3 linked regions of the Nothobranchius furzeri genome follow. The protein of the gene in region 1 binds, or shares a complex with, the protein of each later gene. Links are inferred from orthologs where the notes say so. Each region holds a gene or a part of one and is shown in the gene's direction. Other genes may lie near its edges.

What was found.
Region 2: the proteins of prkaa1 (region 1) and prkab1a are in contact, whole or in part, in a crystal structure (PDB 6C9H), measured with the Homo sapiens proteins. The link is inferred for Nothobranchius furzeri from reciprocal best matches to the Homo sapiens genes PRKAA1 and PRKAB1. Residues at the interface, in NP_006242.5 of Homo sapiens: Gly20, Val22, Lys23, Ile24, Thr32, Lys40, Lys42, Asn59, Arg60, Ile63, Arg64, Val69, Ile72, Arg73, Ile76, Gln77, Val93, Ser95, Thr96, Pro97, Ser98, Asp99, Ile100, Phe101, Met145, Met175, Ser176, Asp177, Gly178, Glu179; in NP_006244.2 of Homo sapiens: Pro79, Val81, Arg83, Leu103, Pro104, Thr106, Val113, Ile115, Asp159, Phe160, Glu161, Val162, Phe163, Ala165, Leu166, Met167, Val168, Asp169, Ser170, Gln171, Arg201, Ala202, Pro203, Pro204, Ile205, Leu206, Pro207, Pro208, His209, Leu210.
Region 3: the proteins of prkaa1 (region 1) and prkab2 are in contact, whole or in part, in a crystal structure (PDB 4RER), measured with the Homo sapiens proteins. The link is inferred for Nothobranchius furzeri from reciprocal best matches to the Homo sapiens genes PRKAA1 and PRKAB2. Residues at the interface, in NP_006242.5 of Homo sapiens: Gly20, Val22, Lys40, Lys42, Asn59, Arg60, Gln61, Lys62, Val69, Arg73, Val93, Ile94, Ser95, Thr96, Pro97, Ser98, Asp99, Ile100, Met145, Met175, Ser176, Asp177, Gly178, Glu179, Phe180, Arg199, Leu200, Ala202, Pro204, Glu205; in NP_005390.1 of Homo sapiens: Val80, Arg82, Ser84, Ser108, His109, Asp111, Ile115, Ser138, Asp159, Phe160, Glu161, Val162, Ala165, Leu166, Ser182, Ser184, Gly190, Gln191, Glu192, Met193, Tyr194, Ala195, Phe196, Glu199, Arg201, Lys203, Ser204, Pro205, Pro206, Ile207.

Annotation. Positions count from the first base shown.
Region 1 is NC_091746.1:66,864,315-66,874,626, reverse strand, and holds part of prkaa1 (5'-AMP-activated protein kinase catalytic subunit alpha-1), read left to right. Parts: intron 1-2,611; coding exon 2,612-2,705; intron 2,706-2,847; coding exon 2,848-2,992; intron 2,993-6,140; coding exon 6,141-6,228; intron 6,229-6,316; coding exon 6,317-6,541; intron 6,542-6,626; coding exon 6,627-7,146; intron 7,147-7,269; coding exon 7,270-7,396; intron 7,397-8,739; coding exon 8,740-9,017; 3' UTR 9,018-10,312. UniProt on the Homo sapiens protein: Catalytic subunit of AMP-activated protein kinase (AMPK), an energy sensor protein kinase that plays a key role in regulating cellular energy metabolism.
Region 2 is NC_091746.1:43,138,175-43,147,696, reverse strand, and holds prkab1a (5'-AMP-activated protein kinase subunit beta-1a), read left to right. Parts: upstream 1-488; 5' UTR 489-614; intron 615-1,676; 5' UTR 1,677-1,709; coding exon 1,710-1,859; intron 1,860-3,931; coding exon 3,932-4,101; intron 4,102-5,021; coding exon 5,022-5,115; intron 5,116-5,827; coding exon 5,828-5,942; intron 5,943-6,220; coding exon 6,221-6,354; intron 6,355-6,516; coding exon 6,517-6,585; intron 6,586-8,197; coding exon 8,198-8,275; 3' UTR 8,276-8,409; downstream 8,410-9,522. UniProt on the Homo sapiens protein: Non-catalytic subunit of AMP-activated protein kinase (AMPK), an energy sensor protein kinase that plays a key role in regulating cellular energy metabolism.
Region 3 is NC_091751.1:56,437,706-56,448,786, forward strand, and holds the start of prkab2 (5'-AMP-activated protein kinase subunit beta-2), read left to right. Parts: upstream 1-5,635; 5' UTR 5,636-5,754; intron 5,755-5,814; exon of another isoform or gene 5,815-5,977; intron 5,978-6,955; 5' UTR 6,956-6,979; coding exon 6,980-7,138; intron 7,139-7,239; coding exon 7,240-7,397; intron 7,398-7,741; coding exon 7,742-7,835; intron 7,836-11,081. Other genes in the region: mitochondrial adenyl nucleotide antiporter SLC25A24, read left to right, coding at 339-497, 575-727, 827-934, 1,012-1,179, 1,265-1,415, 3,155-3,336. UniProt on the Homo sapiens protein: Non-catalytic subunit of AMP-activated protein kinase (AMPK), an energy sensor protein kinase that plays a key role in regulating cellular energy metabolism.

The DNA of each region.
Region 1 (10,312 bases):
GACCAAGCAGGGTGGATATTCTATATTTAAGTAGAGTATCCCAGCTTATTGGTCATAAGTAGAGGTAATATATATCTTGAGCTCTTAAAGCACTCAATTTGCTAACCCTACAGCACTATACAAATACAATTTGATCGATTGATTGAGAAGCACCAACTTGGGCCCAACCGATATGCTCTTTTTGGGACCGATACCGATCTAAAACCCTTAACAAAGGCCGATAGCCGATATAATGGCCGATAAATCTCCCTCACAAAAAAAGAAATAAAAATTTTCTTAAGCTTAAACCCTTCATTCTCTGCCTTTTTGATGCAAACTTATTTCTCTCTTACACACCAAAGAACTGTCTCAATAACTCACTCGGGTTTCCAAGTAATGCAAATAAGATTTATTTAGCAATCTCAAAAACAACAGAACACACAAACTCATTCACAGCATAAATCTAACATTCAAGTTTTTTCTTGTAAACTGTGGTTTCCACAAATACATTTTAACTTAAAGGAATATTCCACCACTTAGTAAAACTGTGTCTTGTTAAGATTCCCCAGAGTTAGACAAGTCAGAAAAAGCATTTTATAACCAGCCCAATATGATCTGGCAGCAGTTGGTTTTCTTAGTTTAGCATAAAACAATGTAAGTGAATTCACATACATTTTAGAGTTTTTTTTACGTAGGTGAATGCAAGCCTTCCCTTCCATTGCTTTATGCTAAAACAACTGGTTACAACATGTTTTTTCTGACTTAGCTAACTCTGGGGAATCTAACAACACACACAAGTTTAGGGACAGAAGATCCCTATAAGAATATTAAAATAATAAAAATGCAGCAATAAATAAAACGTAATACTTGTGCTTTGTAACAAAGTAACACTCTGTGGAAGTTAACTTGGTGAACTTATTCACCCTGGACAGGAAATAATTGCACATAAGAAACATAAATAAGAATAAATAAATAAAAAGTTCCAAAACAATAATTTGTGTTCAAAGGAGTGGAGCCACACAACATGAGTTCATAAAGCTGGCACCATCTGCTGGATAGGTAGCGCGATATCGGCCATATCGGCCGTCTTTTTGGTCGATGGCCGATACTGTTAATGACCCCAACATCGGTCGGGCCCTAGTACCAGCCTCCGTTCACACATGTTGCTGTAAATAATTGAGGCACAATTTTTCACTCTTTGTTATACTGCAGCAGTTTGACCAAATTTAAGTCAGGGCTCCGGCTGGGCCATTCAAGAACAGTCACAGAGTTGCTGTGAAGCCACTGTTTCGTTTTGTAGCTGTGTGCTTGGGGTCATTGTCTTGTTGGAAGGTAAACCTTCTGCCCAGTCTGAGGTCCTGGGAACTCTGGAGAAGGTTCTTGTCTAGGATATCCCTGTACTTGGCCGCACTCATTGTTCCCTCGATTGAGACCAGTGGTCCTGTCTCTGGAGGTGATAAACACTCCCACATCACGATGCTGCCAGCGCCATGCTTCACAGTGAGGAATGTATTGTACAAGTGATGAGCAGTGCCTGGTTTTTCTCCACACCCTTGGAATTAAGGTCAAAAAGTTATATATTGGTTTCATCAGACCTGAGAATCTTATTCCTCACCATCTCGGGGTCCTTCAGGTGTCTTTTAGAAACTCTGTGTGGACTTTCATGTGTCTTGCACACTGAAATGGTAAATGGCCTGTATTTGATACAGCACCTTCCAGAGTCCTGGAACCCCCCATGGCGCTTTACAACACAATCAGTCATTCACACATTCACACGCTGGTGGGGATGAGCTACGATGTAGCCACAGCTGCACTGGGGCGCACTGACAGAGTCGAGGCTGCCGAGCACAGGCGCCACCGGTCCCTCCGACCACCACCAGCAGGCAAGGCTGCTATCAGTATAATCAAACACAGCTGGACTAAAATGAAGGTGTAGGTCCATCTCAAGAATGATCAGAAGACATGGAAAGCACCTGAGTGAAATATGAGTGTCACAGCATAGGATGTGAATAGTTAGGACCATGAAATACATCAGTTTGTCATTTTTAAAATAAATCTGCATAAATTTCTAAAATGTATGTGCTTTTCTGTCAGTGTGGGGTCCAGTGTGTACATGAATGAGAGAAAAAGAAATTTCATTTATTTTAGCAAATGGCTGCAATAATTGACGGGGGTCTGAATATTTTCCGCTGTACCTTTGTTAATGCAGCACTGTCATTTCCTCTTCATTTACATTCAGACCTCAGAAAGTGGAAAGTGACTAAATGTTTTGCTCTGCGGGGCAGAGCCCTCATCTGGGCTAAAATAACAACGTTTTGCATCATGCCAACAGCTTGTTGACATGCCCCGCCCAGTTTTAACTACAGGTGACTGATCAGTCAGTGTAGAAAAGCCAAATGTTCTACTGGTAGCAAGTTATAAAAATAAAGCAACAACAAACAGGGAGTTACTTATTTGGGCCTTTCTCTTTTATTTATCTGACATGCCGTAAATCACGGTGTTATGTGCCTATTTTGGTGAGTCGTGCAGATGCAAGTCATCAGGCTCAATAATAAGTGTTTGCAATTTGACCTGTTTTAAATGTATTGTATTCCTCTGCTGTTTTATTTTACCTGTATTTTTATTACTGCAGATATCAAGTTATTAGTACCCCTACTGATATCTTCATGGTCATGGAGTATGTCTCCGGAGGAGAGCTCTTCGATTACATCTGCAAGAATGGAAAGGTAATACTCGCCAATACTGTAGCTGTCCTTAGAGGTGTGTGTGCGTGCGCGTGCTTGCGTGTATTGATAGTCTCAGCGGTGTCCTGACTGCTGCTTAGTCACAGGTAAAATCACACCTAATGTGTCGTTTCTGCTGCAACAGCTGCAAGAAAAGGAGAGCCGTCGACTGTTCCAGCAGATCATTTCAGCTGTAGACTACTGCCACAGGCACATGGTGGTACACAGAGACCTCAAGCCCGAGAACGTGCTGCTCGACGCACACATGAATGCAAAAATTGCAGATTTTGGTGAGTTTTGAGAAATAAACCAGGGAGCGTGAGCAGGTGGAGCTGGCTCCTGATCACAAAGGTAAACTCCGTGGTTTCTGGTTGTACAACAAGCATTCTGTGGTTATGGGAAGATTCCAGTATGTCTTCTGTGTGTGAGTTTGAGAGCATTATTACGCACTTGAGATGAGGCGTTATAACACCTTTTTAGTTAGCAGTTGCTGGCTGTAGCTATGCCAGAAATATGTCCGCAAACTCAAGGAAGGAGAAAACTATTGCTGGTGTGAATGGATTTTAATCCAGATGGGAAAATCTCAACAAAGGCTTTGGAAGGGTTGTAGGGATGGGTACCTTTGACATTTGAATCGATTCGGTACTAATTCCCTGTACCTAGGAATCGATACCGGTACTTAACGGTACCAATTTTCGATACTTTTGAGTGTTTAATATTTTAATTCTCTTTTATAATTAAATATATATTTTCCTCAATATATAACCATATTTGATAAATATCATGATAAATAACATACAACTGTTTGTACTTTAACATCGTCCTTGTAGTTTTATAAGCTGATAATTAAACTGAAGCAAACATCTTTACTGTGAACTAAATTTACTGTGTATCTTCATTCCTTTTGCTGTCCTTTTTCATTTGATTTTTCCTACTGGAAAGTTAGAATTTCAGAGAAGAAAGCGAACAAACCATTAGCTGATAACAACGGTGGCAATGGAAGCTAACATATCAAGCTAACGTTATCTTAAACAGTTTATTTAACTGCTGGAGCAGATTAAAACGATGATGCCTCACGCTTAGATCGTTGTCACTGGTTTCATCTTCACCCAATCACCCGTTGCATTTAGTAAAGTGAAGCCAAACTTTAGAGCGCGTTCATGTTCTTCTAGTCGGAAATTTGCAGTTCCGAGGAGAAAGCGAACGCACCATTAGCGAAACGGAAGCTAACATATCAAGCTAATTATATTTACCTACCGGAGCAGATTAAGATGAGGATGTCTCACTTAGATCGTTGTCGCTGGTTTCATCATCACCCAGTTACCCATCACATTTAGTGAAGTGGACCCAAGCTTTAGCGTGCGTTCTTTCTACCCATGCTGCTCTGTTTACAACTCGCTCGCAGCGACCGACATAACGCTCTTGCACATGCGCAGCTGTCTTGGCAAGTTCTCGTTATGAAGGACGAGTACCGAAACGAGGCACCGTTTCAAATGACGTGAATCGGTGCTCGGTCGGTACTATGGAATTTGGTCGGTACCTTAAAAAGTACCGAATTCGGTACCCATCCCTAAAGGGTTTTGTGTAGATTTTAATCTTGTCCGTTTGTCCCAGAGGGGTACACAGGTAGACACACTAAATCAGCTTTGCACTTTCAAGTACAAAAATTGTCTTTACTTGTGAGTGTTTATGTATATGTAGACAAATAATCTTATTGATAAGATATGTAGCTATATATACTTGTTTATATTCAGTACTAGTTGCAGTTTTTTTTTTCTTCTGTTAGTTGAAAATTATGAGTAAAGCCCCTTGAGAAAATAATCGTGAATTGAAGCTGCTTTCCGGAGTTTTCCCCTTTCAGAAATTATGTATATGTCATGTCAGAAATCCGTAAAAGTGATTATCTTATCATGTAATGTAAGCAATACGTCATTTTTATTTATTTTTTGCTAAGCACGCCTCCTGCCCCACAGAACTCCGTGCAATAGGAAACTGAACGCCGACCAGAACTAACCAATAACGTTAGACTATCGCTTACTTGCTTCAAATTTAAGAAATGACTCGGCTGATGCAGGTTTGATGAACTTTTCACGGACAAGTAAGTCTCTAACATATAAATATATGAAAACACAACATGACTTCAATTCATTTCAATTCAATAATTTATTTCACTCAAAGTTTAAATATACAAACTTCAAATCAGAATATAAGCATTCGAGTGAAATAGGGGGAGGAAGAAGAAAAAATCTTATATGACCTACCCCCTTTAACTAAGACAAGATAAATAACAAAAAGTACAAAATAGCCTTGTACACAAAAAATAAACCGCTCTCTTACTTCCACAAATAATATCACTACTAAAACATTGATCCTCCATCCTCAACTCACCAAATCATACGATTTTAGCATTTTATCTTTATACATTTTTTTGAATTGATCAGTAGCTGTACATTTTTTTAATTCATCATCCAGGTTATTCCATAATTTCACTCCATATATTGAAATACACATTTGCTTTAATGTAGTACGAACAAATATCCTTTATACTCTGGTTTCTTTCTACTCTTATCATTTTTTGGGATCAAAACAAAGGACCTTTGTAGATTAGTTGGCAGCAAATTATTTCTAGCCTTAAACATAATTAGTAAAATTTTCAAGTTAACCAAGTCTTTGAATTTCATAATTTTAGATAGAACAAAATATTTGTTAGTATGTTCTCTTGGATTTGCTTTATATAGAATTCGCAAAACTTTCTTCTGTAACAGAAACAAAGGATTAGTGTTTGTTTTATACGTATTGCCCCAAACCTCAATACAATAAGTTAAGTATGGTAAGATAAATGAGTAATGTAATGTCTGAAGCGTTGAAATTTCTAGAAAACCTTTGACTTTGTTTAAAATTCCAATACTTTTGAGAATAATACTCGTAAAACAGTATTACAACAGTGTTTTAGCTCTGTTTGTCGGCTACAGAAGCACATTTATAAACAGAAACGTGAAGTCGCCATCTTCAACAAACCGATGCAACAGAGTTTTTGTGTGTGATGTTTGTCAGCCACTAGATGGTGCCATCGGATACGAGAAATACTCCGGAAAGAAGCTTTAAATCGCAATTGCAATATTAAAGGAAAAAAATCGCAATTAGATTATTTTTCAAAATCATTCAGCCCTACATCTCAGCTTATAGCAGCCGGTGGATGGGTGGGCCTACCCCCCCCCCCCCCCCCCCAGCTTGTTTTTCTTTAAATGACAGAGTCCTGAAATGGCTCATTCTGGAAGGTACTGAAATATCAGTAATAATCAATTAAAAATCTTAACATGTTTTATATTGACCATTGAACTATTATAATGTAAGGAAAAAAGTCCCTTTAATAGATTATTACATTTTAGAAGTATCCGGTAGAATTGCCCTGCCATGATGGTGCAAACTGCTGTGCAGGTCTGTCAAACATGATGTCAGACGGAGAGTTCCTGAGAACAAGTTGTGGTTCTCCAAACTACGCTGCTCCGGAGGTCATCTCAGGAAGGTAATGCCATCTTTTATTATTGTGAACACAAACACAGAAGAGTCGAACGTTGTGTTTTTTACAGTGGCGTATTTGTGCTCGTGTTCAGGTTATACGCTGGTCCGGAGGTGGATATATGGAGTAGCGGTGTCATCCTCTACGCTCTGCTGTGTGGGACGCTCCCGTTCGACGATGATCACGTGCCAACACTTTTTAAAAAGATCTGCGACGGGATCTTTTTCACCCCGCAGTACCTGAACCCTCAAGTAGTTAGCCTCCTAAAGCACATGCTGCAAGTGGACCCAATGAAAAGAGCCACTATTAAAGAGATCCGGTAAGCCCAATGAGAACGTTTACTAATTTGACACAGATAAACGATGATCCGTGGTTTTTATTCACGCCGCATTTTTTCCCCACAGAGAGGATGAGTGGTTTAAACAGGACCTACCCAAGTACTTGTTCCCCGAGGACCCGTCCTATAGCAACAACATGATTGACGACGAGGCCCTAAAGGAAGTTTGTGAGAAGTTCGAGTGCACAGAGGAGGAGGTCCTCACCTGCTTATACAGCCGCAACCACCAGGATCCATTAGCCGTCGCCTACCATCTCATCATCGACAATCGCCGCATCATGAGCGAAGCCAAGGATTTTTACCTGGCGTCGAGCCCGCCCGACTCCTTCCTAGACGACCAGCACCTGACATCATCCGGCGCGGCCGTGGCCGGCATCGCCAAACCCCATCCGGAGCGCGTGCCCTTTCTGCTGGCAGAGACTCCTCCCAGGCCTCGCCACACACTGGATGAACTGAACCCCCAGAAGTCCAAGCACCAGGGTGTCAGGAGGGCTAAGTGGCACCTGGGGATCCGCAGTCAGAGCAGGCCCAATGATATCATGACGGAAGTGTGTCGGGCCATGAAGCAGCTGGATTATGAGTGGAAGGTAAACGGCAAAGTCTTTAGGAGGAAAACAACTCTGGAATATTGTTAAATATGTTCAAAAAGCTGTTTTTACCCGAGTCGCATGAAAAAAATACAATTCCTCTTTTCATTCAAACTTTTCCAGGTGGTGAACCCGTATTATTTGCGCGTGAGGAGGAAGAATCCCGTTACTGGAATGCAAACCAAGATGAGCCTTCAACTGTACCAGGTGGACAGTAGAACCTACCTCCTTGACTTTCGTAGCATAGATGGTAAGTTTTCCCACGCTGCTCCGAGCGGCCGCACGCTGAACTGTCATCCTATCAGCTGATGGTGTGATAGTGAAAAAAAATAAACAACACTCGTTGGAATGTATAACAGCACAGTCTGGAGGAGAGTCGGTTTTCCAAACAAAACAAAAATGATGAGGAAATACAGTCGAGACTGCGTGTCAGAGAAGTTGGATTTGTGGTCAAATTCAATGTTGAACAATATATTTAATGTGAGAAAAGACGAGGACAGCAGTTGTCCTCCTGGTTGTTATGGCAACAGCCAGAATTTCTGACACGCTTTGTGTTGATACAAAAACGTCAATCATGCTGTTTGCAGTGAAAATAGTTAAGATAGCTGAATTTGAAACCATAGAGTACATTTATTTAAAAGCTAGTAACTAATTAGAACTAAATAACCTTTTGTTGTGTTGAGCTTTAACACAGAGATGCTTTTCTTCACTCATTAACCCACCAAGACCCGGTGTCCTTTAGAGAGGGACTGCTGTCCAGACATATGACTCCTACATGCACTAGGCTGCTGCAGATTATAAATATTATTCATTTAGCTGGGGGGGGGGGGGTTAAAAGTGTGTAATCCCAATGTGAAAATGTTTTATTTCAAACAGGAACGTCACATTTTTTGGGAGGTATTTTCTTCATTTCCTCATTTTTGTTTTAGACATTTGCAAGAAAAGTGTGAAAAATCAGAAAGTGAAAAAACGTTAACTGTGATTGTTAAATATTTGACTTGTGCAAGAAAAAAAGGCAAAAATGTCTGACTCGTGTATTTACAAGAAGAAACCCAACTTCTAAGTATAAAGCTCTGGAGGGGAATCAAAATGTTTTTATTACAAAACTTTTGTTTTTTTAATTGTCAGATTTTTTTTTTAGGAATTCCCCAACAAACAAACAACAAGCTGTCTAACGCTGACGCTGAAGCGTGGCTCCCTGCGTGTCCGCAGTGCTGATCTGTAGTTTGGAGCCTTGCTAAAGATTTCATAAATGATTGACGTGCAGCTCAAGGCTTTGGAAGTCTGTGCTGTTTGAACGGACCTGAAAGGGAAATGTTCGGAGTGTTTTATGTGGGACAGGCGTGCTGTATAAAGGTTGTTGAGGTAAAACTAGACTTACGTCATCAAAGTCAAACACGACTTGTTAGATTTATGTTTTCACTCGAGACAGTGAGCAAGAAAGGGTTCACTAAATTGGCCTTTGGGAAGTTTGATGTGTTTTCTGTACACACAGCTTTTACCATGCGGGCTTTCAAATGTTACCTTTGTTTGGTCTCGATTGAGCTGTTTTTGGATACATTAAAAAAAAAAAAGTTTTTCTTTTTTATTTAGATGAAATGGTGGAGACAAAGTCTGGAACTGCTACCCCGCTCCGCTCTGGCTCTGTGAGCAACTACCGCACCACCACTAAGAACGATGTCGATGGGGCGGACGTTTCAGCCACGTCTAGCACTGTGCAGCCCACCAAGACCGCCGAAGGGTCCTTAGGGTCATCCTCGACCTCGTCCATCGACTCGACGGGGGGAGGGGAGAACACCCCTCGACCAGGAAGCCACACCATCGAGTTCTTTGAAATGTGCGCGAATCTTATTAAACTACTTGCACGATAGCTTGCAAAAACAATCATCGCTAGCCTTTTCTTCTCTGAGTGTCTTTATAGCAATAAGCATGGAACAGATTCATGGCTTACTTCATCCCAACTGAGGATGAGGTGATTGTTCCGTGGCGCTCATGCAGGTTGGTGTTCTCTGTGCAGAGGGGAAACATACAGAGCTGACTGGGTCTCTAGGAGTTGTTGAGATTACGCTACCCAGCTAGCTAGAGCAGGAAACAACATTTCGGGGAGGGGGAGGTCTTTAAATTTCTCAATCTGTTTAAAAGCAGATATCAACATCCCAACTTACAAATTACGCAGAAGTGATTACACTGAACGTTCTGTGCTGTAGCCTGCAAGGCCTGCTTTTCAGTACAGAGAACAAGATCACTTTTTTTATTTTTTACCTGCTGCGGGGAGGGGGCGGAGCCACAGTTTGAGGATTGAGTGATGTTCATAGGATGCAGGAAGCACTTTTGCACAAGTTTCTGTAATTTTCTGCTGCTTTGTTATTTTTTATTACCTTTTTTCCTCAGTAGGGATCAGAGAAGCGGTGCCGACGTCCCAGAGCGCCGCAGCGTTTCATTCCCATCACATCACATTAGTGCAGTGGCCTCTGTGGTTCTGGTACGTGTCAGGGACTTAAGAATGCTCCATGTTGGGTTTTATTTTGTTAAATGTCAAAGACTAAATGTTCATGGTTCTGTCCTCGTTGTGACCGATTGTCCAGCTCCGACTTATATTTTTTTTTATAAATAAATACCTGAAAATATTTATCAATGCATTAAGTGGATGGAGTTTTGGTTCCAATGACTTGTTTTTTCTTTCATTACGCTCTAATGCTGGATGTTTAAATATATACTCATTTTTAGCTGTTTTTAATTCAGTGTCACACCTTTGTTTCCCTCAATCACAATTATTCAGATACTTGATTGTCTTTCTAGAGAACTAGTCTGCTTTTTAGAAGGTGTTTTGCAACGACGGTCAACGTCTAGAAATATATCATTATCAGTTTATTACAGTGACAAGTTGATTATGATTTTTTTCTTTTCTTTTGGATTATGGAGTATGATTACTGGATGGGATGTCTTTTGCTTACATTCATTTGATGAAATGCCAATCAGTCACGTGTGTTCAGGCCTCTGTGCTCAATTTTAAACGAGCAGCAATTAAATGCAGTGCGTCAACGGCGTCCGTCAACATCATTTATGTTTCGCTCACACATTCCTTTAAAGGTTGCACATCGTTTGTTTAAACCTGAACCAGATCATTGCTGGTACTGTAAATGGTGAGAAAGATGAAGAATAAAAG
Region 2 (9,522 bases), about 24 Mb from region 1:
GGAATATGTTACGATGTTCTCAAAGTTAGGTATGGTACCTGAAAATCACCTGCAGATTTCTGTCCAACTTGCTTATGCGGAGCAGTCTGAGAAAGTATCTGCTGGATTAGTGAGTGTTGTTGTGTTTGGAGACTCAAAGCAATACTGAGAAACAGTGATCTGAAGACATCTAAAAAGCCAGTCATTTGTAATATAAAACAAAATGAAAATAGGTGTTACTACAGTCTCCAGCCTTTTCTATGTTTGGATATACTGTATATGTGAAAAACAGCCTTGCTTTGAAAATAATACTTGGCCTACGCTGCCCTCTAGTGGACGCTAACTCAAACTACATTCCATTTGACTGAAACGTGACGTTTGGCTGTAATAACAACGTAAAAACACGGAACAAGAAACGTATAGTATACATTTTTATTTATTTATGATACATTCGTAAAAAGTAAATTAATTTGATATATTATATATTATATATAGAGAGAATTTTCCCCACACCTATTGTGCGCATGCGTGTCCAGGGGGCGGATCTTTTAGCTGCAGAAGAACCCAGTTATGTTGTCGACACCAGTAAAATGCAGCAGATGAGACCGGTATCTGTTATAATTAACGTTTCTGAGGTAATGCCATAAATGTCATCTTGTGTTCATAGTTGCCATTTGCACTTGTGAATCCCTATTACCTCTGTCTTTAGCCAGTAGGGCTAATATAACCTTTGGTTGCTAGCTTCAGTGAAATGTTAGCTGTAACCTCTGTATGAGTTAACGGTGAAAATGCTGAAGTATTAGCATCGGGTGCTTTATTTGCAGCTTTATAAAACTCTGTTAATGTTTTTATTGGTTTGTCACGGTCTCAGGTTGCTAAAACGTCAACGAAGTTTTACCAGCAGATTACTACGTAACATTATTTACTGCTAAAGCTGTTTTTTTTTAATTCTTTAGCTCAAATTATACCTTTTGTCACATGCAAACACATTTTGTATACGCTCCTAATATTTTAGCATAAACTGTTGCAGCTGATTAATGTTGTGCAGAAATATTATTTTTATATCCTTCGCATATTCTAAACAATGAGCCTTTGTGATCTCTCCTTATTGCAAACAGGCACAATATGGGTCACCTGGAGGTGATTTCACTGTTCAGCTATAGACTCACATTCAGCGTTTATTTCTAAGGTGTTGACACTGTTTGATTAGGTTTAATGTCATTTTCAATCTGTGTGTAACAGTTTTCCCCATTAGAAGCATCCCATAGTAATCCATTAATGTTTATGACCTGTAGATCACGTGACAGACAGTGACTAAGCATTATCATACGTAGAATAAACTAGATAATCCCAGTGTCATGGTTCCCAGGCAGGTTTTATAGCCATTATCATGGTGCTTCCTGGAAATGGCATGCTGGGAGGTATATTATGTGAGGATCAGGTTGAATCTAACAAAACATTTTAGTTGAACTCTTCAAAATATGAATTTCTGTCCCGAAACACCCTGCAACTTTCCAGTTTCTGTTTATATGTGTTATTTTATGAGCATGTATAGTATAAACAAGTATATGCTATTTAAAAATATAGTCTGTAATATTATAGCTGAGTCTTTCCTCCCCAACTCTCACCAGCAGCTATCAATGATTTATTCATTGTTGAAGTATGTTTTCTGAGTTTCTGATTTGGTTCACTTGCAGTGACCTTGTGACATCCTACAAGAAAACAAAACCATGGGAAACACGAGCAGCGAGAGAGCTGCCATAGGTCATGGAGAGAAGGCTCAGCGGAGGGACAGCCGAGGGATCAAAGAAGGAGAAAGGCCAAAGATCCTAATGGATAGCCCAGAGGATGCAGATATCTTTCATGGAGAAGATATGAAGGTATTTATTCTGTCTCATGGGGAGATGCTGGTTACGCTATACTTGTTTTTGAAACACAACTCTTAACAAAATACAAGAAAATGATTCATATTTATATAATTATCTTGCCCTAAAAGACGGAGTTAACTGAGAAACCATTTTTGTTTTAATACGATTGGTCACTCTGAGTTTAAAAAGCAGGCTAAATGTGAAAATAGTCTACCGTTATTTCCTGCATTAGCTGTAGATAGAAAAAAATAATGGGTGAAACTCAGATTAGAAAAGCTAGTGACATTTGCACGAGACAATGTCAAGTTTGCATGGACTCACCCATTTTGGCTTGCAATGGGGAAGGCTGTTGTTGATTTAACATCCAGATTTGAAATCCTACGAAGTCCAAGGAAGATCCCGCCTTTCTCACTTCTGATTAGCTAGAAAGGCTCTATTATGATTGGCTATTTCATTTAGCACCAAACAGTCTGTCCTCGCTAAGTGCAGACTGTCCTGCCACCAGCAGAAAGCTGTTTTGGGGAGTTTCGTAAAGAAATTGTGAACTTAGCGCTATAATAACCATTCTGTCCTGTTTTGCAAAATATTTTATGTTTTATGTTTCATAAAAAACTGAAAAAAAAGTGAATTTATAATCTTGTTGCATTTATCAAACTGTTTGATTTACTTTATATCTCTTGGCTCTCAAGCATTAGAGTACATAGGATAAACATATGTGCCTTACCTGGGTACAAAATTTAATAAAACTGCCCTATTCTGCCCAGCTGTGTGCATCAGGTCTGTTTCTTTTCTAGAATAATGAAAACTGGTTAAAAGTAGGTCTAAATCAGCTTTAAATTAAATGTTGTGTCCTTGGGCAAGACACTTAACCCCCTTGCCTGCTGGTTGTGGTCGGAGGGACCGGTGGCACCTGTGTATGGCAACCTCACCTCTGTCAGTGCACCCCAAGGCAGCTGTAGCTGCATAGTAGCTCATCCCCACCAGAGTGTGAATATGTGTGTGAATGGGTGAATGACTGATTGTGTTGTAAAGCGCCTTGGGGTGTTCCAGGACTCTAGAAGGTGCTATATCAAATACAGGCCATTTACCATAAATGATACACTTTTAATCTGATGATGAGAGATGTGCTCTAACTTGTAAACAGCCTTAACCTATTAAAGTGAAGACATAGGACAACCTAATAATTAAGTAATAAAATAACCCCAATAGAGCTAATCAGTCTACAGTGTGATGCAACAAGATTTATTATGTAACTTGATGGAAGTGGTTACTTTTACTGAATGATCAATAAGATGTGATATTCCATATAAATATGAATTATCAACCTTATTGGTCTTTGAATATTTGATTTAATATGAACTTGGGTTCTTTGGACTGCCAGGGAAACACACACTTCATAATAATAATTCAGAGTCAAACATATAGTCTATAAAAATGAATTTAATACTTTATTTTTAAACTAATGACACATTTTGACATTTTTCAGGTTATTTTATGAAAGAAACTGAAACTGGTTTGTGCAAAACAGGAAAGGATGTTTATTATAGCGATAAGGTCACATTTTCTTCAGAAAACTCCTCAAGATCAGGCTGTAAACGTAAAAACCCTGCAGCGAGGGAAATCTGTTTCCTCTTACATGAAATAGCCTATCGTAGGAGTGCCCTTCCAGCCAATCAGAGGTGAGAAAGGCGGGACTTTCCTTGGACATCCTGGGATTTCAAATGACGCACCATGTCTTGGCTAGTAGAAGCTAACTGTTAGCATTAGCGACTCCACAACACAGCAGAACTCCTTCAGACTTGTTTTATTTGTTCAAATAAAACATCAACGTTGGAAACCAAACAGAGTCTGTGATTGAAAGTCGTGTTGGTGTTAGCCAATCAGATGTGAAATGTCCAAATATCAGGAAATAAGACTCCAAATCCTGCCATCTTCTACTCACCTCTCATCTGGCTCAATTCTACTTCCTGAAACAGCTTTTTTCCTACAGTGATCGACTCACGAGGCATTGATTTAAACTAGAGACCACTGAAAAATATGTTGGGAAAAAAGCTATTAAATTTGGTCTTCAATGTGTGTTCCAGGCTCCATTAGAGAAGGAGGAGTTCCTCGCGTGGCAGCAAGACTTAGAGGCAGAAGACAAAGGACCGACACTAGATCGACCAACAGTGTTTCGCTGGACTGGAGATGGAAAGGAGGTCTATATCTCTGGATCCTTCAACAACTGGGCCAACAAGATTCCCCTTATACGAAGGTGGAGACATTCATATATGTTTCTAATAAGAGAACAGGCTTATTCTGGAAAATGTGATAAAGAAGTCCAGTTATTTTTGATCCAGCCTTAAGTTTAGACTCACACGTCAAAACCATCTCCCGCTCTTGTTTCTTTCAACTGAGAAACATTTCAAAAGTCCGTAAACTGGTTTCTACTGCAGATCTGGAAAAAAATCATCCATGCCTTTGTGTCATCACGCTTAGACTACTGTAACGCTCTTTTTACTGGTCTCAGCAAAACCTCCCTCTCATGCCTTCAAGCCATCCAAAATGCAGCAGCCAGACTCCTAACCAAATCCAGCAGACGCGCTCACATCGCTCCAGTTTTACAGTCCCTCCACTGGCTCCCGGTAGAATATAGAATACAGTTTAAAGTTTTAGTCCTGACCTATAGAGCTCTTAACAACCAGGCTCCAAGCTACCTATCTGAGCTTTTATCCCCACACACCACCTCAAGGAACCTCCGATCCACATCTGAAAACCTCCTGGCTGTTCCTCGAACCAGACTGAAAACCAAAGGGGACAGGGCCTTTCAGACTATTGCACCCAGACTTTGGAACAGTCTACCTTCAAATCTTCATCTCTCTAACATTGTACAGGTCTTTAAAAATCATCTAAAAACTCACCTTTTCATCCAGGCATTCCCTCCCTAAATGTTCTAAAAGATGGCTTTGTTTGGGTTCACACCTTCACTTTGTTTATACTCATTATTTTATTTTCTACTTTATCACTGCTATTGTTTTTCTGATGTTTTTATTGGTTAGAGGTATTTGCCCTGATCTTTATCATGTTGTACAGCGCTTTGTGATTTATATCTGAGAAAGGCGCTATATAAATAAACTTTTACTTACTTACTTACAGTCTAAACTGACTTTTGGTCCTCTTTGTAATCTGTCAAAGTCAGAACACCTTTGCAGCCATCGTTGATCTACCTGAAGGGGAGCATCAGTATAAGTTTTATGTGGATGGCCAGTGGACACATGACCCTGCTGAGGTAAGCAACAGCATCTTAAAATGTTCCACCTTAAATAGACGTTATTTCACAAATCCTAAGCTGGAAATTGTCTTCTCCGCAAAGGAGACTCGGCCTCTAAAGCTAAACACATTACAGATCTGCTACCACCCTGAAAACTCTGGAGAGCTAACAGCTTCTTTTCACTGTTGCATCACTCAGTGATTAGCTGTAGTTTTGTTTTGCATAACCTGAAATGTTATTGCACTTAGCATTTCTGGTGCAATCATACTTTTCAAGGACAGAGCCTGTTTTTATTACACTGTGATGTAAACACATTATCATATGTTCTAACCTTGAACAATGTTCTAGAGAGTGGAACATTTATGCTTTAGGGAGACATGTTCAGGTACTTGCTTTTTATTTTACCAGGTAAAATGTTTGAGAAGAAAAACATGACATGGCTAAGATGTCGATCTCAGCGGTAGCACCAAAAATTTTTACATCTGGACCTTTAAAAACAAAGAAAAATGATGACATCAATAAAAACACAAAACCTTTACATTGTGTCTTTGTCCAGAATCTTTGACCTGCATCAGGCTTGCTTTGGAACAATGTTTTACATTGGCACCACGTGAGGGTGTATTTGACGCTCCTACTTCATGGTTATAGTCCAGAATGCATAAATGAGGAAGTTAGTGTCTCGTCTGTTTCTAGGTGAGCTTTAGGAACCTGATTGTGTTATGTTTTACAGCCTGTCATCACCAGCAACCTCGGCACAGTCAACAACGTCATCCAGGTGAAGAAAACAGACTTTGAGGTGTTTGATGCTCTAATGGTGGATTCACAGAAATCCTCTGACCTCTCAGGTGAGCGCCGGTGAAGGCTTGCTTTCCTTTTTGTCACCCCCCACAGAATCCAGATTGAGAAAATGTAAAACTCTGTCAAACAAATTTGATTCATGTTCAAATGTACATTTTATCTAAATACAGTTAAACTTGCCATAGATAAGGTCTGCCCTGTTGGCCTCTTGGTATAAACATGTAAGAAAATGTCGAATTATGGGAATTAACAAAAGAAAAACACCTAGATTTACAGAAAGCATTTTAAATTAGGGTTTTTCTTTGTCTCTGTTCTCCTTTTTCAGACCTTTCTAGCTCTCCCCCTGGGCCATATCACCAGGACGCTTATGTTCCTAAACAAGACGAGAAGTCCAAGTCTCCACCCATCCTCCCTCCTCACCTCCTCCAGGTCATCCTGAACAAGGACACTGGGATTTCAGTGAGTGTTTGAGATATTTCTGCTGTAAATTCTCCGTTCTTATTGTTTTCACCTTCTGGTGCATTATTTATTTAGATAAATAACAGCATCTTACTGTAATTAGAAATCATTTTTCTGCACAAATCTGATTGCTGTTTTGTTATATTTATGTCTTGCTTTCAGTGTGATCCTGCTTTACTCCCAGAGCCAAACCACGTCATGCTCAACCATCTCTACGCTCTTTCCATCAAGGTACAGTTTCTAGTTTACCAAAAGTGTGACGATTCTGAGGTCCTTTCATCAGCCAGCATTGTGAGAAATGACCAGCTTTGTTGGATTTTTCCTAGAAGGTGCGTGCCGTTACCGTGGATAGTAAACTAGCTCAGAGCCCATAAAGCACGAGGGAGAAATGCCAGCGATGATAACAAACGGCCAAAAATGACTGAAGGACAAATAAATGCACTTGTTGCAGCGTTCTGACCGGAAAAACAAACTGATCTCACATGCCGGAATATAAATAAAGACAGAAGTTCCAGACTAAATGGAAAAAATGGGTAGATCAAACGAGCAGAGTTTACACTGCAGGGCCCAGACCCAGACTCTGATTAGATAGTCGTTTTCTAATCTTTTTCCTTTAAGTTTACCTGAGGTGATGAGTTTGAATGTTACGATGAACGATTGTAACAAATACATCAGAAAGTGTCAAATATTTAAAGATGCGTGCAGTTTTATTAATACATTACTGAAACTATTTTTAAAGTAACACTAAACAGCTTCCTGCTCCTCTGCCCTACTGGTGAAAAACAGTCGTGCAGCAGCCTGCTGTAGTTAGTGCTAACAACGAGCTAACACTAACATGAGCCTACTAATGATAACATAAACCACAAATTAAAAAGATCAACACTGTTGGACAAAAAGTATTATTACTTACAAGTTCAGTAGCAACAAAGCCAGGTCACCATCAGCCTATGGTTTCAGGGCCTCCTTCAGCTTCCTCAAAGTAATGTAGGCCACACCGATGTTCACTCTGGTTTTAGCTCTTTGCTTCATCCCCAAAGACATTACTCTCTGACTGTATTTCCAGGCTCCACCATGATGCCAACAAAAAAAGCAAACTTTTTTTTCTTTTTCTTGTGTTTTTTTATTGCTGGTCGGCGAACTGAAAAAACTAACTGCTAGCCTTTCATTAGCTAGCGACAGAGAAAATAGCTAACAGCCATTAAGTAGGTAAAGAGCGCCCCCTAGGACACCTGCCACTCTACACAACTGTTAAGTGTTGTTTCTGGCCAGCAGAGGGCTGCAAAGTGCTGTCCCAGGTCAAGTTGGTAAAGTTTCTACTTACACTAACTCCACTTTAAAAGGAACTGATTCAAGTGTTATTCTTAAGTGTGGCATTAAATAAATCAAATTTGCAGATATGATTATAAGTTATATAAATTTTATCTAATTAGACACATTTTAACTGCTGAAATCTGAAATGAATAGTGGATGGGTTCATAGCTGTCAGACTGAAACAGGCTCAACAGACACTTCATGAAAAGAATGAGAAAATGAAACAATGAGGTTTGGAGTGTTTTAGGATAAGAGCCAAGTGTTTGCTTGTGACAGCCCTGGGAAATGTCAGGAAATTGGGGTTTTGGGGACTTCCCTTTGAAAATAACATGTGTCATACTGTGATTAACTGCAAAGCAGAACTATTCTTTTGGTTTTCTTTACTACATCCTACTGGGTTGATTTCCCGAATGAAAGGAGGAGAGCCAATGTACTATCAGCAGAAATCTCATGAGAACAAAAAGCATATAGTTTCAAACAGAGAATTTTGACTTTAACTTTTAAATTCTTTGTTGTTTTTATTCCTCCACAGGATGGAGTGATGGTGCTTAGTGCGACTCATCGCTATAAGAAGAAGTACGTCACAACTCTACTGTATAAGCCCATCTGATTGCAGGACTGTATGTTGCATTCCAGCCTTGTGTGCTATTCTAACAGTGAAAAATATTACCTCTGTTTTTTTTTTTTTTTTTTTGCCCTGAAATAGAAAGATTGTAGGGTCAAACCCTTACTGGTTTCTCTGTCAATATATTAAAAAAAAAAAAAAAAAAAAACATCTGGCTTTTAAGTTAATTTCTATACGAATATTCAGAGCTGGTACTCAATTATCTCCTAACAAATATCACTAAGGTGAGACATAAAGTATGAATAGAAAAATTCCAATAGAGTTAATATAATTAACTTTTAATTATATTTAAGTTAATATATTTGGGGGGGGGGGGGTTGTTGTCATTTAACATTTGAGCAGTGGTTTCCCTTTATAAAAACTTATTAAAGGTCAGATGTAAAACATGTTGCACTTAAAACAAAGTCAAACGAGCACAGCCATGGTTGGAGGCTTTTGAACGACAAAGGGTTTTCTGTGTTTCTGCAAGAAAACTAAAAGTATGACCCAGTGTATCAGAAAACATGACAATAACATTTATTGAGTAAAATTATTAGATGTGTGTGAGAAGTTCAACTGTGAACTTGGATTAGCAGTTAGTGCTGAAATTTTCATTGAGGGTTAACAGTCAGATTTGAACGATTTCTGGGCCTTAGCATTTTTTTTTTACTTGTTGCTAATTGTGCTAAAACATGAGCAGCTGATGTCTGCATCAATGCCATCTTATGGTGGAACACTTGAACTTTGGAACAAATTCCCAAATAATCCTTCGAGCACACATCATTTCTCAGAAGTAAGCCGTTAGGACAGGCAAGTAATTGGCCTGATCACAAATCTGTTTTGTAGAAACACAGAAAATTCTATATTGGCCTAATTTTCAAGCACCACTGTTTAAATCAATCTGATATTTTATTGAGTACATTTTGTATTTGCAGTTATTCTACATAGTAGGATAGTAAACATGCTCAGCTCACCTGTTTATTATATTATTTTGGTAGTTTATAGTGACAAAAATAGTTTTATATGACACTAAAATGTTTGTAATGAAACAAACTATAATCGTTAGTAAGATAACTGAATAACCTCGTTAAAAGAGAGGTCTCTGACATTTTTATCCGACAAAAGCACTTTGTGCACTGCTGTGGTTCTCTGTCTCTTTGCCTGTTTATGTTCACTTTTATTAAAGTTATTTGTGGCCAGAGCAGGTTTATTTTTTGAAGTAGGCAGTGATTTATCTTTTTTTATTGGGTTAT
Region 3 (11,081 bases), on another chromosome or scaffold:
AAAGCAGATGTGTTTTAGCTGTTACATTTAGATTTTTATGTGTATTTATAATGAGTACCTTTGATAAAGTGTTGTCGTGTATCATCTTTCTGGTTGTTGAAGGTCATGTAAATGTTGTCTGGCATGACTATGCACGAGCAGCTACTGAACTGTGAAAACAGCAAGCAGAAGTAGTTGACTATGTAACTCTTATCTTTATGTGGGGAAGCCTGAATCATTCAGATCAGTAAATATTTGGCAGGAACAGACTGATACTTTGTAGTTCTAACAGGAATATTTATGCTAATGTGTGGGAATTCTGTTAACTCTGCGTGAAGTCCTGCTTGTTTAATCTCTAGGTGCTGGATATAGGAGACAGTCTTTCCATCCCGGACGAATTCACAGAGGAGGAGAAGAGCTCGGATGTCTGGTGGAAGCAGCTCGTTGCAGGTGCAGCAGCAGGCGCCGTCTCCCGCACTGGCACCGCCCCCCTGGACAGACTCAAGGTCTTCATGCAGGTGAAGACGTGAAGGTTACACAGCGATAGGTACAGTGTGAAACAATGTGGCTAAGCTTCTGTGTGTTTACGTCACAGGTTCATTCATCCAAAACCCACAGGATCAATCTGATTGGAGGCTTCAGGCAGATGATCATGGAGGGTGGTCTGATGTCACTGTGGAGAGGAAATGGAATCAATGTTTTAAAGATCGCGCCTGAGACGGCCATCAAATTCATGGCTTATGAACAAGTCCGAAGCTTTAAATCAAACTTTTTCCTACATATGATTGTAGATACTGTTCTATAAGACAGTTAGCGGCTGTATGTACAGATGTTCTATCTTTTACAGTATAAGAAGCTGCTGTCATCAGAGGGAAAGAAGATTGAGACACATAAGAGGTTTATCGCCGGCTCTATGGCTGGAGCCACAGCACAGACGGCCATCTACCCAATGGAGGTAGGAATCCACCTGTCGCCTCCTGGGATGAGAGAAAAGTGAAAAGGGGTCATTTTTTTGTGCTTCTTGTCTTTCAGGTGCTAAAAACTCGCCTGACCTTGAGGAAAACTGGCCAATATGCAGGAATGTTTGACTGTGCAAAGAAGATCCTGAGGAAGGAGGGAGCCATTGCTTTCTATAAGGGCTACGTTCCAAACTTAATTGGCATTATTCCCTACGCTGGTATAGACCTCGCTGTTTATGAGGTACGAGACGAAGGAAGCCTCCTCCGGTGTTGCTTTTTTCATTTGCTGTTTTAGATCCAGAATGAAACCTTTTCGTTGCTCTTAGACTCTAAAGAACACCTGGTTGTCGTATCACGCCAAAGACTCGGCTAACCCTGGAGTTCTGGTGTTGCTGGGTTGTGGGACCATCTCCAGTACTTGTGGCCAGCTGGCCAGCTATCCTCTCGCACTCGTACGCACACGGATGCAGGCGCAAGGTAAACGCAGACGGACATTTACACTACAGCTAAAACTATCCTTCTACAGTTTCCTGTTAGCATGTAGCTAAAAGGTTTTATTTGACCTGGATGTTAAATCTCATTAATTAGACTGATTCCTTGAAGGATAAATGAGCCCTTTAGCTTAAAAAATTTACTTTTCAGCCATGATTTTAAAGCTTTTTCTTCGCGAGCTACTTCCATCCAGCTCCATTATGTTTTATTTTACTGTTTGGTATTTTCAGTTCATGTTACCATTTGAAATAAATATTTTAATCATGCTTTTGTTACATTTAGCTTCACATTCAAACTCATTTCTGTCATTTAAATATAAAAATTTTAATCATGAATCTTATTAACCATTTATCCAGTGTTTAAATCAAAACTAAAAGTTTATCTGCTTCTTTCTTCCAGTTATTTATTAGTTATTTTTTATAACACTTAACAATAAGGGTCCCTTTATTAATGTTACTCAGTGCATTATTAAGCATTAATAAACAAAGAGTCCCTTTGTAGCCACCACAGCTACGCTGGGGTCACACACACACACACACACACACACACACACACACACACACACACACACACACACACACACACACACACACACACACACACACACACACACACACACACACAGACTTCCGGCTGCTCCTCACTCAATCCTCGTAGCTCATCGGCGTTCCAGGATCTCACCGGTCCAGTCGAGTTCACGTGGATGAAGACGCCTCCTCCACGTCTGCCACCTGTATATGTAAAGGAGGCCATCTGATTTTTGATGCACCTCAGCTGTGGTTGTGCACGTTCTCGCTGTCATGTTTGTTCTCTGCTGCCCCACAGACCTGCACGTCCCAGCGCACCGCCACACCCTTTATAAACGTTCCTGGTATTGTTAACTATTACCTGTCCTCAAGGTTAGGACAACGGGTTGGGGTGGGTCTTCTTAGCATCGCATTACATAATATGGTTAAGCAATGTTAATACATTATCTAATAGTTTATTAATGCTTAATAATGCACTAAGTAGCATTAATAAAGGGACCCTTATTGTAAAGTGTTTCCCCTTTTTTTTTTGCATATCTATTTATTTTAGGGACAGCAGTAGCTCAAGAGGTAGAGCGGGTTGTCCAGTAATGCAAAGGTTGTAGGTTAAATCGCAGCTGCCACCAGAAAATGCTGTTGTTGTGTCCTTGGGCAAGAAACTTAAACCGCCTTGCCTGCTGCTGGTGGTTGGATGGGCCGGTGGTGCTAGTGCTCGACAGTCTTGCTTGCACCAGTGCGCCCCAGGGCATCATCATCACCAGCATGTGCGGAAGCGCCTTGGGGGGGTTGTAGAACCCTAAGAAGGCCCTATAAAAAACAGGCCATTTCCCATTTTGACCTTCTTCTGAGAAGAGTGCTTTTATTATCATCCTATAAAAAAAACAAGTTATAAATTATCTTCTTAGTTGCTTGTTTCAGTCATTTTGTATGTGTGTGAATTAGTCCCTATTTTTGATTTTCTGGTTACAAATCACTGGAATAAAACTCAAAATAGGTTCTTCATTAAGTCAAACTTCTGTTTATATCTGAGTAGAAACTAAAACAAGACTTAAGACATAATTGCGCCAGAGATCCCATCATCAAAAAGTATTATAAACTTGTTTAGTACACTTTCCGATCTGCACAGTGTGTCAGTATTAGAACATGAAGCACAGACATGCGGGCTGCACATGTAACTGAGTGTTTTTGTTCCTGCAGCGTCTCTGGATGTGTCAGACCAGCCCTCCATGAGCTCCTTGTTGAGGACAATCGTAGCCAAAGATGGCTTCTTTGGGCTCTATCGTGGCATCCTGCCAAACTTCATGAAAGTCATCCCTGCTGTCAGCATCAGTTATGTGGTTTATGAGTACATGAAGACTGGCTTAGGAATCTCAAAATAAGCGTGAACAAAAAGAGGATCATTTAGTGTTTTATCAGACTTGGAAAAAAGCCTGCAAATAAAAAAAATTCCAAAACGACAGACGGACATCCAACGTAAAGAGCATGACTTCATCGGACGGAAGGCTGTATGGTTTTTTTAGAGCTGCCTGCCAGTAGTGTTTTAATCAGTTGTGGTGTGCATGCTTCTTTTATTATCCTAAAGTTGCACATAACACACTCTCTACTTTTACACTTTGTCCCAAACAATAGATGACACACACACACACACACACACACACACTTCTGAGGCTACATAATAGTAAAAAAACACAACATTATATATTTAGTTTCAATGTTTTCCAGGTAATGACTGTGACAGGAAAAGTTTGTCTTAACGGAAAACTATTTTCTGTGTGGAAAATAGTCACCTGCCACATTTGTGTCAGAATGAGAAAATCAACACTGTCTGAGTTTGCACACGTCTAAACACTGGAGACAGGATTTTACACTTTTTAGTTTTAAAACGACTTGTTTTACAGGACTGCAAATGTTCAGGTGGTAGCTGCTGGTTTTAAAAACAACACATTTTTCTAACGGTGGAACAATGCCTGTGTGTGTGTGTGTGTGTGTGTGTGTGTGTGTGTGTGTGTGTGTGTGTGTGTGTGTGTGTGTGTGTGTGTGTGTGTGTGTGTGTGTGTGTGTGGGTGTGTGTGTGTGTGTGTGTGTGTGCGCACGCACACGTGTGGGTGTGTGGGTGCGTGTGTGTGTGCAAAGACATGCATGTTGTGCAATGTGAAAATAACTCACCCCATATTCTTTGTGATCATTTAATTGTGCCTTACAGCCTCTTGATGCAAATCTCTGCGATGAGTTTTTTAGCTGCATATACTGTTTTAATGTACTGTACGTTTTCAGTTAAGCTTATTTATTGGACTGACTGATTAAAAACTGTTATAACAGGTCCGACTGAAAATACCTGCAAAGACCACATTCTTGTCACGTGTCTCTTCTTTGAAACAGATGATTTAAAATGGGATTTTTACTATTTAAAGAGGACAGTGAGTGGTTTCTCTTTACATTTCTGATCAGCAGTTTGAATGAGACCCAAGCTGTTTTTATTCAGAGTTAATATTATTTATGTTTTCTGAAATCTGATGTAGACAAATGACTTTATATGCATGTTTGAAATCACTAATGTCTTTAATAATAAGCATGGATTTGTTGAGTTGAGAAGTTGCTGTTGTTAAGTTAACTGCGGGAGAAAAAGGTGAGGAGTCGAACGAAGCAAAACTAGTTATTAATGTGTTTACAGAAAGGAAACCCAATAGAAACGTAGGCAGCTAATTTTGCATTTGGAGGTTCTGGTGACTTCTTGCTTATAAGTGGTAATTTCTGTTTTTTTACAGTGACTGTTCATTGGTGTAACAGGTTTTCTACTTGTCTCATGGATAAATAAAAAAACTCAAGATATTCTGATATTTTACCTTATTATCTGCATGAGCGCTTAATGAAATTTAACTTAAGTATAGCTTAATGAATTGCAACTTGAGGAGGAGACCAATTTAATGCTGTTTTTTTTTTTTTTTTTAGTATTTATTCTTATGGAGAGTGTCAAACATTGGTTGTAAGAATAAAAGGTCTGCAAAGTTTTTAAGCCAAAAATCAACACTGCCTGGTCTTTTTTGTCCCTTCTTTGTTCTCATCGGTATGGACCTTATTTGCACGATGTTTGCTCCATGTGATCAGCTCAAACTAAACAATCAGCTGGCTTACCCTCCACCATTTTCACCTGAAATAATCAATGGAAATAGTGCATAATTTCTGTTTTTATTTCTCAGGATCTTGAAAAATTTTAGTGTTATGATACTGAGATGTTAAAATAGTTATTAATGTTAACTAAAGTTTAAAAGTGCCCATTTAAAGCAACAAAGCATTAAATTAATATAATCAGCTTATAACATCTGAAAAATGTCTTGGGCAACGCAATGTATTTTGTTAAATATTCTAAAGCATTGGCGCTACTAGTTAAAATAAAGCTACTTTTAAACTTCATTGTGAATAATGTGATTTTTTTTTCAGAATGGAATTTGTTTACTTTGTTTCTTGCCTCCAAACGTAAACTACATTGATTCTAATACTTCAATTTCTATTTTTCCTCTGTGTGCGTTCTATAATTTTTTCATACAACAATGAAAAAGTTTAATTTTCGTTGAAAGAGGAAAACAAACGTATTTATTTAGATATTACAAAGGTAACAACCCCTCAAATGTAACTGACGTCACGTCTCTTCCCGTTCCTGATTGGCTAAAATCACTTTTTGGCCTCTGCGCTCGCCGTACTCGGAGCCCCGCTGTGCTGCTGTTGTGAAAAGTGGAGGACGCGGACAGGTCTTCGGTTTGAAGACAAACTGCTGTCCTGAGGAGCGGCAGCTGGTGCTTGTGAGTGTCTCCTTTGTAGCTACACGGGAAACCAAAAGCGTTTCTATTTAGCTGCATAATTTGTGTCGTTAGCAGTCATTATTAAAGCAGACAAGTCGTTTTTGTTTGTTTGTTAGTAGTGGCTGCTGGTAGCTAGCTAAGTTGAACTGCGAGCAGCATCTAAAAATATTCACCCTGGCTGAGCTGAGGTGGACAGGAACAGCCTGACGTCCAGCGGGCAGTGGTGGGTTACGTTGACTTTATGATACGGCACATGTGGTTTCACCTGTTGCTCATGAAGCTAGAAAAGCTTTTTAAAGCCGTTAAGCCTTTGGGCTAAACCACACAGCTCACCGTTGTCATACGCAGCAGTGATGCACGCACAGTTCCAGTCATTTTAACACATCAGTTACTGTGTTTTTGCAGCAGTAACACTGGACTGTGGACAGCTGTTTGCTGTCATCACGTTCTGATACAAACTGGGTCTCTTCATGACACCTTGATCTCCTGATTGTGATCCTGTTGTCTGTTTAGATGTCTTCAGCAATGGTTTGGGTCAGCTGATCAGGCATGGGACTTGGGTTAGTGGTCAAATACAAATATTTAACATTTTTATCTAATATGGGATTTTAAATAGACTTCTAATTGGACTGATTTATATATTTGTAAAGTGTAAAATCATAAACTAAAACTTTTTTGTGTCTTTGTAGTATCTTGATTCACATGTGTTGTGTTAACAACAGCGTTATACATTTGCAGGGTCTCTAGTGTAATGTAAGGTGCAGTTCTGGGAAACATTGGTGGAGTTTCTTTGCTGGCTGGTTCTAGTCTATTTACTGTATTACAATTTTATCTTGCAAATTAAAACGAGAAATTTAAAAGCCATTTATTTACCTCAAATAAATGGTAAATGGCCTGTATTTGATATAGCGCCTTCTAGAGCCCTGGAACCCCCCAAGGCGCTTTACAACACAACCAGTCATTCACCCATTCACACACACATTCACACACTGGTGGGGATGAGCTACGATGTAGCCACAGCTGCCCTGGGGCGCACTGACAGTAACAGACAAATAACTTCTTTTTAAGTTCCCTTGACAAAAGGCAAATTTCTTACTAACAAAATTTTAGTTGCATTTTAAGCTGTGGTTGTTAGTGTCTAAACGGCTGGAGTTTTGTAAAATTGGATGTTCATAGCAAAACAATTCTCCTGACCTTGCAGTGGGAAGTCAGGCTGTGAGGCATCATGGGAAACACCAGTGACAGAGTATCTGCTGATCGCCATGGAGCGAAGGCCCAACGCTCCGACAGCAGTGGGAGTCACAAGGACCAAGAGACCAGCAGCAAGTTGGTGGACAGCACAGATGACCCTAACATCTTCAATACCCATGGACCTGAGTCAAAGGTAACCCTCCGGCAATTCCGACTAGGGTGCAGAATCGTTTCTTTGCTCTGTGTGATCAGTTTTCTGAATATCTATTGATGTTGCACGTTTGCTGCTTCTAGACATCAGGAGAAAAAGAATTCACCCCAGATCTCGACGACTTGGTTAAAACTGGTCCTCAGGCTCGACCCACTGTAATCCGCTGGGCTGGAGGGGGAAAAGAAGTCTACATAGCCGGTTCTTTCAATAACTGGAGCACAAAGATTCCACTAAATAAAAGGTAAACAAATTATTTTGTAATTCTATCTCACTAGGAGCTAGCTCAGGGGTGGACAACACTGGCCCTTCAGGGCCACTATCCAGCATGTTTTAGCTATTTCTCTGCTCCAACTCACTTTGTTTAATGGTTGTGTCACCTGCTCAGTGGCTTATTTAGCTTGTTAATCACCTGCTGATCAAAATCTGTAGTGTTGAAGCAGGGAAACGACTAAAACATGCTGGATGGCAGCTCTCGAGGACCGGGGTTTTCCCCCTCTGAGCAAGCTGCAGGAGTAGAGATCACTTAAATGTTTTTATTCAGTTTAGATTATCTGGTGTTGCACTTAAACTCTTTTCTTTTTGAAGTCACAATGACTTTGTAGCCATTCTGGACCTGCCTGAAGGAGAGCACCAGTACAAGTTTTTTGTAGATGGACAGTGGCTCCATGATCCATCCGAGGTACAGCAGACCCACCTTTGCTCTGCTTGTTTTTCTTATCATTCACCATATTCTCAGTGCCTCCTAAATTAGTCTAAATGTCTCAGAACAGTCAGTGTGTTTACATGCACATCAGAAAACCAAACTGTTGCCCTAAGTAGACTGACGTGATTTTTTAAAATCACGTAAACATGTTCGTCTTGCTGAAGGTGAACTGGTTGTTATCGTAACCAGATAATGCGGTAGAACACAACTGCATCTGCATGTAAACGGCTCCGCCAAGCTGATACTGGTAACTGCTGAATGTGACGAGTCTGCAGAAGTGGTCTTCTGACATTATCACCACAAAGTAACAAGAACCAGCCGTCTGGACTTTGCGCAGCTGAACCGAAGTAGTAACTGGATCTCTTTGACTTTGACACCGCTCGTCTTTGGAGATTAACGGATGCTCCGCTTATTCTGACGAGCAACGTTAACAGAAACACAAACTAATGACATTAGCAGCTGCCCGCTCCAATTGCACAAAAACGTTTTGTGAAATTATTGTAACAAGACTGTTACCGCGGGTTACAACAGAACTACGCACCACACCGGCGTTATCACTTTCATACACATTTATTTCACAGGACTGATCTGCAGCACAGTTCATCCCACTGCTGCCTCCGCTCGGTCGGTCGGTTATTCCCCAGCCGGCTCCTTGTTCCTGCAGCCGTGCATAATTATATAATAATATACATACGTCATTAGATGGCTATAACTTGTTTGTGTCTGCACATGTGGAGCAGATATTTTGTTGTTTTATCCCATCATGAGACTTTGTCTGCCACGATGTGGGCTGTTTATCCACTAGAATTGCCTGTTACCACAGCCTTCAGCCTATTTTATCCGCTGGAAACCTGTAAAATGTAACTTTACTGTCTTTCTTTCATCTATTTGTGCAGCCTAGAGCTCTACATGTGTTAACCATGCTGATAGATTTTATTTTGCTGTTGTTTAGCTCTGTTTATTGACAACTGACAGCTAAACACAACAGGGGTCAACATGGATGTGCTGGCTTCTTGCTTTCTAGCCAGAAGCTGGGTGGGGGGTGGGGGGGGGGCGCGCACGTGACGTCACACTTCAATATCATTGCCCCTGATCGTCGTACCCCTGATTAGTCATCAAGACAAACCTGAAGAATTTGGGTGTTGTTTTTGACCAATCAATGTTTCTTGATGGCCACTCAAAAACATTGGTCCGAAACTGTTTGATCACATAAATATCTCCAAACTGCGAAGGTTGGTGTCAAAACATGAACTTGAAATGATTCTCCATGCCTTTATCTCCTCCTGTCTAGATTACTGTAACACACTCTTCACATGTTTTAACAAAAAAGCCCTTGACGGCCTTCAGTTGGTCTAGAACTCTGCAGCGAGGCTCCCAACTGGAGCAAACAGAAGAGCACACATCACTCCTATTCTAATGTCTCTGCACTGGTTACCCGTTAACTTTAGAGTTCATTTTAGAATCGTGACTATAACTCTCAGGGCTCTACATGGTCAAGCTCCTCCCTATATTACTGAACTGTTAAAGCCTTATGCTCCAACCCGAGCCCTCAGGTCCACACACCAGAACCTTCTAGAAGTTCCAAAGACCAGATATAAAAGTTAGGTGATTACTCCTTCCAGACTGTTGCACCCTGACTTTGGAGTGATTTTCCTTTATCCTTATGCAGCATTGACAGTCTGGACACTTTTAAAAAAACAGCTAAAGACCCTTTTATTTAAAGCTGCTTTTACCTAAATCTTTTATTTTCTTATTTTTAACTCAAATTTGTAATCTTCTTCCATTTATTTTACTTAATTTTTTCTGATGTTAATCTATTTCTGTTTTGAGATCATTGTTTTGTTTTGATCTATGTGAAGCACTTTGTGATTCTATGCCTGTCATAAGTGCTATATAAATAAAATTGACTTACAAAATTTACTTCAACGGGTCTGTAAGCTAACCTGAAGAATGCCATCGTGAAAGAGCACATGTCACCACCTACTGCACCGGAGTGGAACGAACTTCATTTGAGAGATCCGTTTTCTAACGTACATGTAAACTAGAATGAATGTATTAGATCAACTTAGGCCTAGTCCACACGTAGCCGGGTTTTTTTAAAAACGAATATCCGCCCCTCCAAAAACTTGAATCCACACCATCTCATTTAAAAAAAAAAACTCTGTCCACACGTACCCGGATAAATACGTTGTTAAGGACATGCCAGACCTGTAGGCGGCAGTACTTCCCCCGTTCTTAACCTCGTCCTTCGTCTGTGGTCTTCCGCAAGGAGCAGTAATTCCGCTTGCAAAAACAAACAAGCAAAAAGTGCTTGGACAATTGATAAAGCGAGCGCAGCTCTGAGGGCTTCCATGCTGTCGGCTAGTGTAAACACAGGTCGCACACGTGATGTCAGCATTTTTTTGTCGCGGAAAATGGCGTTGCAGACCTTAAAACTCTGGTTTTGTCTGTCCACACGCAGACACCCAAAACGGAGAAAACGCAGATCTTCACTTTGGCCGGAGTTATTAAAAAGATCCGTTTTCGTGTGAAAAAACTCCGTTTTCATGTGGATGACAGGCCAAAACGTAGAAAAATATCTACGTTTTGGCAGAACCCCGGCTACGTGTGGACAGGGCCTTAGATGCACGTGTAAACACACTGAGTGATTATGAGAGCATGTGGTGAAGACGAGATCAGTTCCACTATTGTGATTCATAAATAATTCAGTAAAATAAAACTGAGTGGTAATAAAGGCCAAACTGTTTAGATCAGCCCATTTACAGTGGCACAGGAGTTAAGTGCTTGCCCCGTAATTGGAAGATTGCAGGTTCGAGCCCCGCTCAGTCTGTCGCTGTCGTTGTGTCCTTGGGCAAGACACTTAACCCACGTTGCCTGCTGGTGGTGGTCAGAGGGACCGGTGGCGCCAGTGCTCGGCAGCCTCGCCTCTGTCAGCGCGCCCCAGGGCAGCTGTGGCTACATCATAGCTCATCCCCACCAGCGTGTGAATGTGTGTGTGAATGGGTGAATGACTGTGTTGTAAAGCACCTTGGGGGGGGTCCCAGGACTCTAGAAGGCGCTATATAAAATACAGGCCGTTTTCCATTTTCCTGTTAGTTCGTTTGCTTCTTGTTTTTAACAAAAGACACGACAGATTTATTTGTGCTCGGCATCAGTTCGGTGTGGAGACACCAACCCCCAGTCAGAGTAAATAACAGCCTGTAGACCATTAACTGGAAAGTT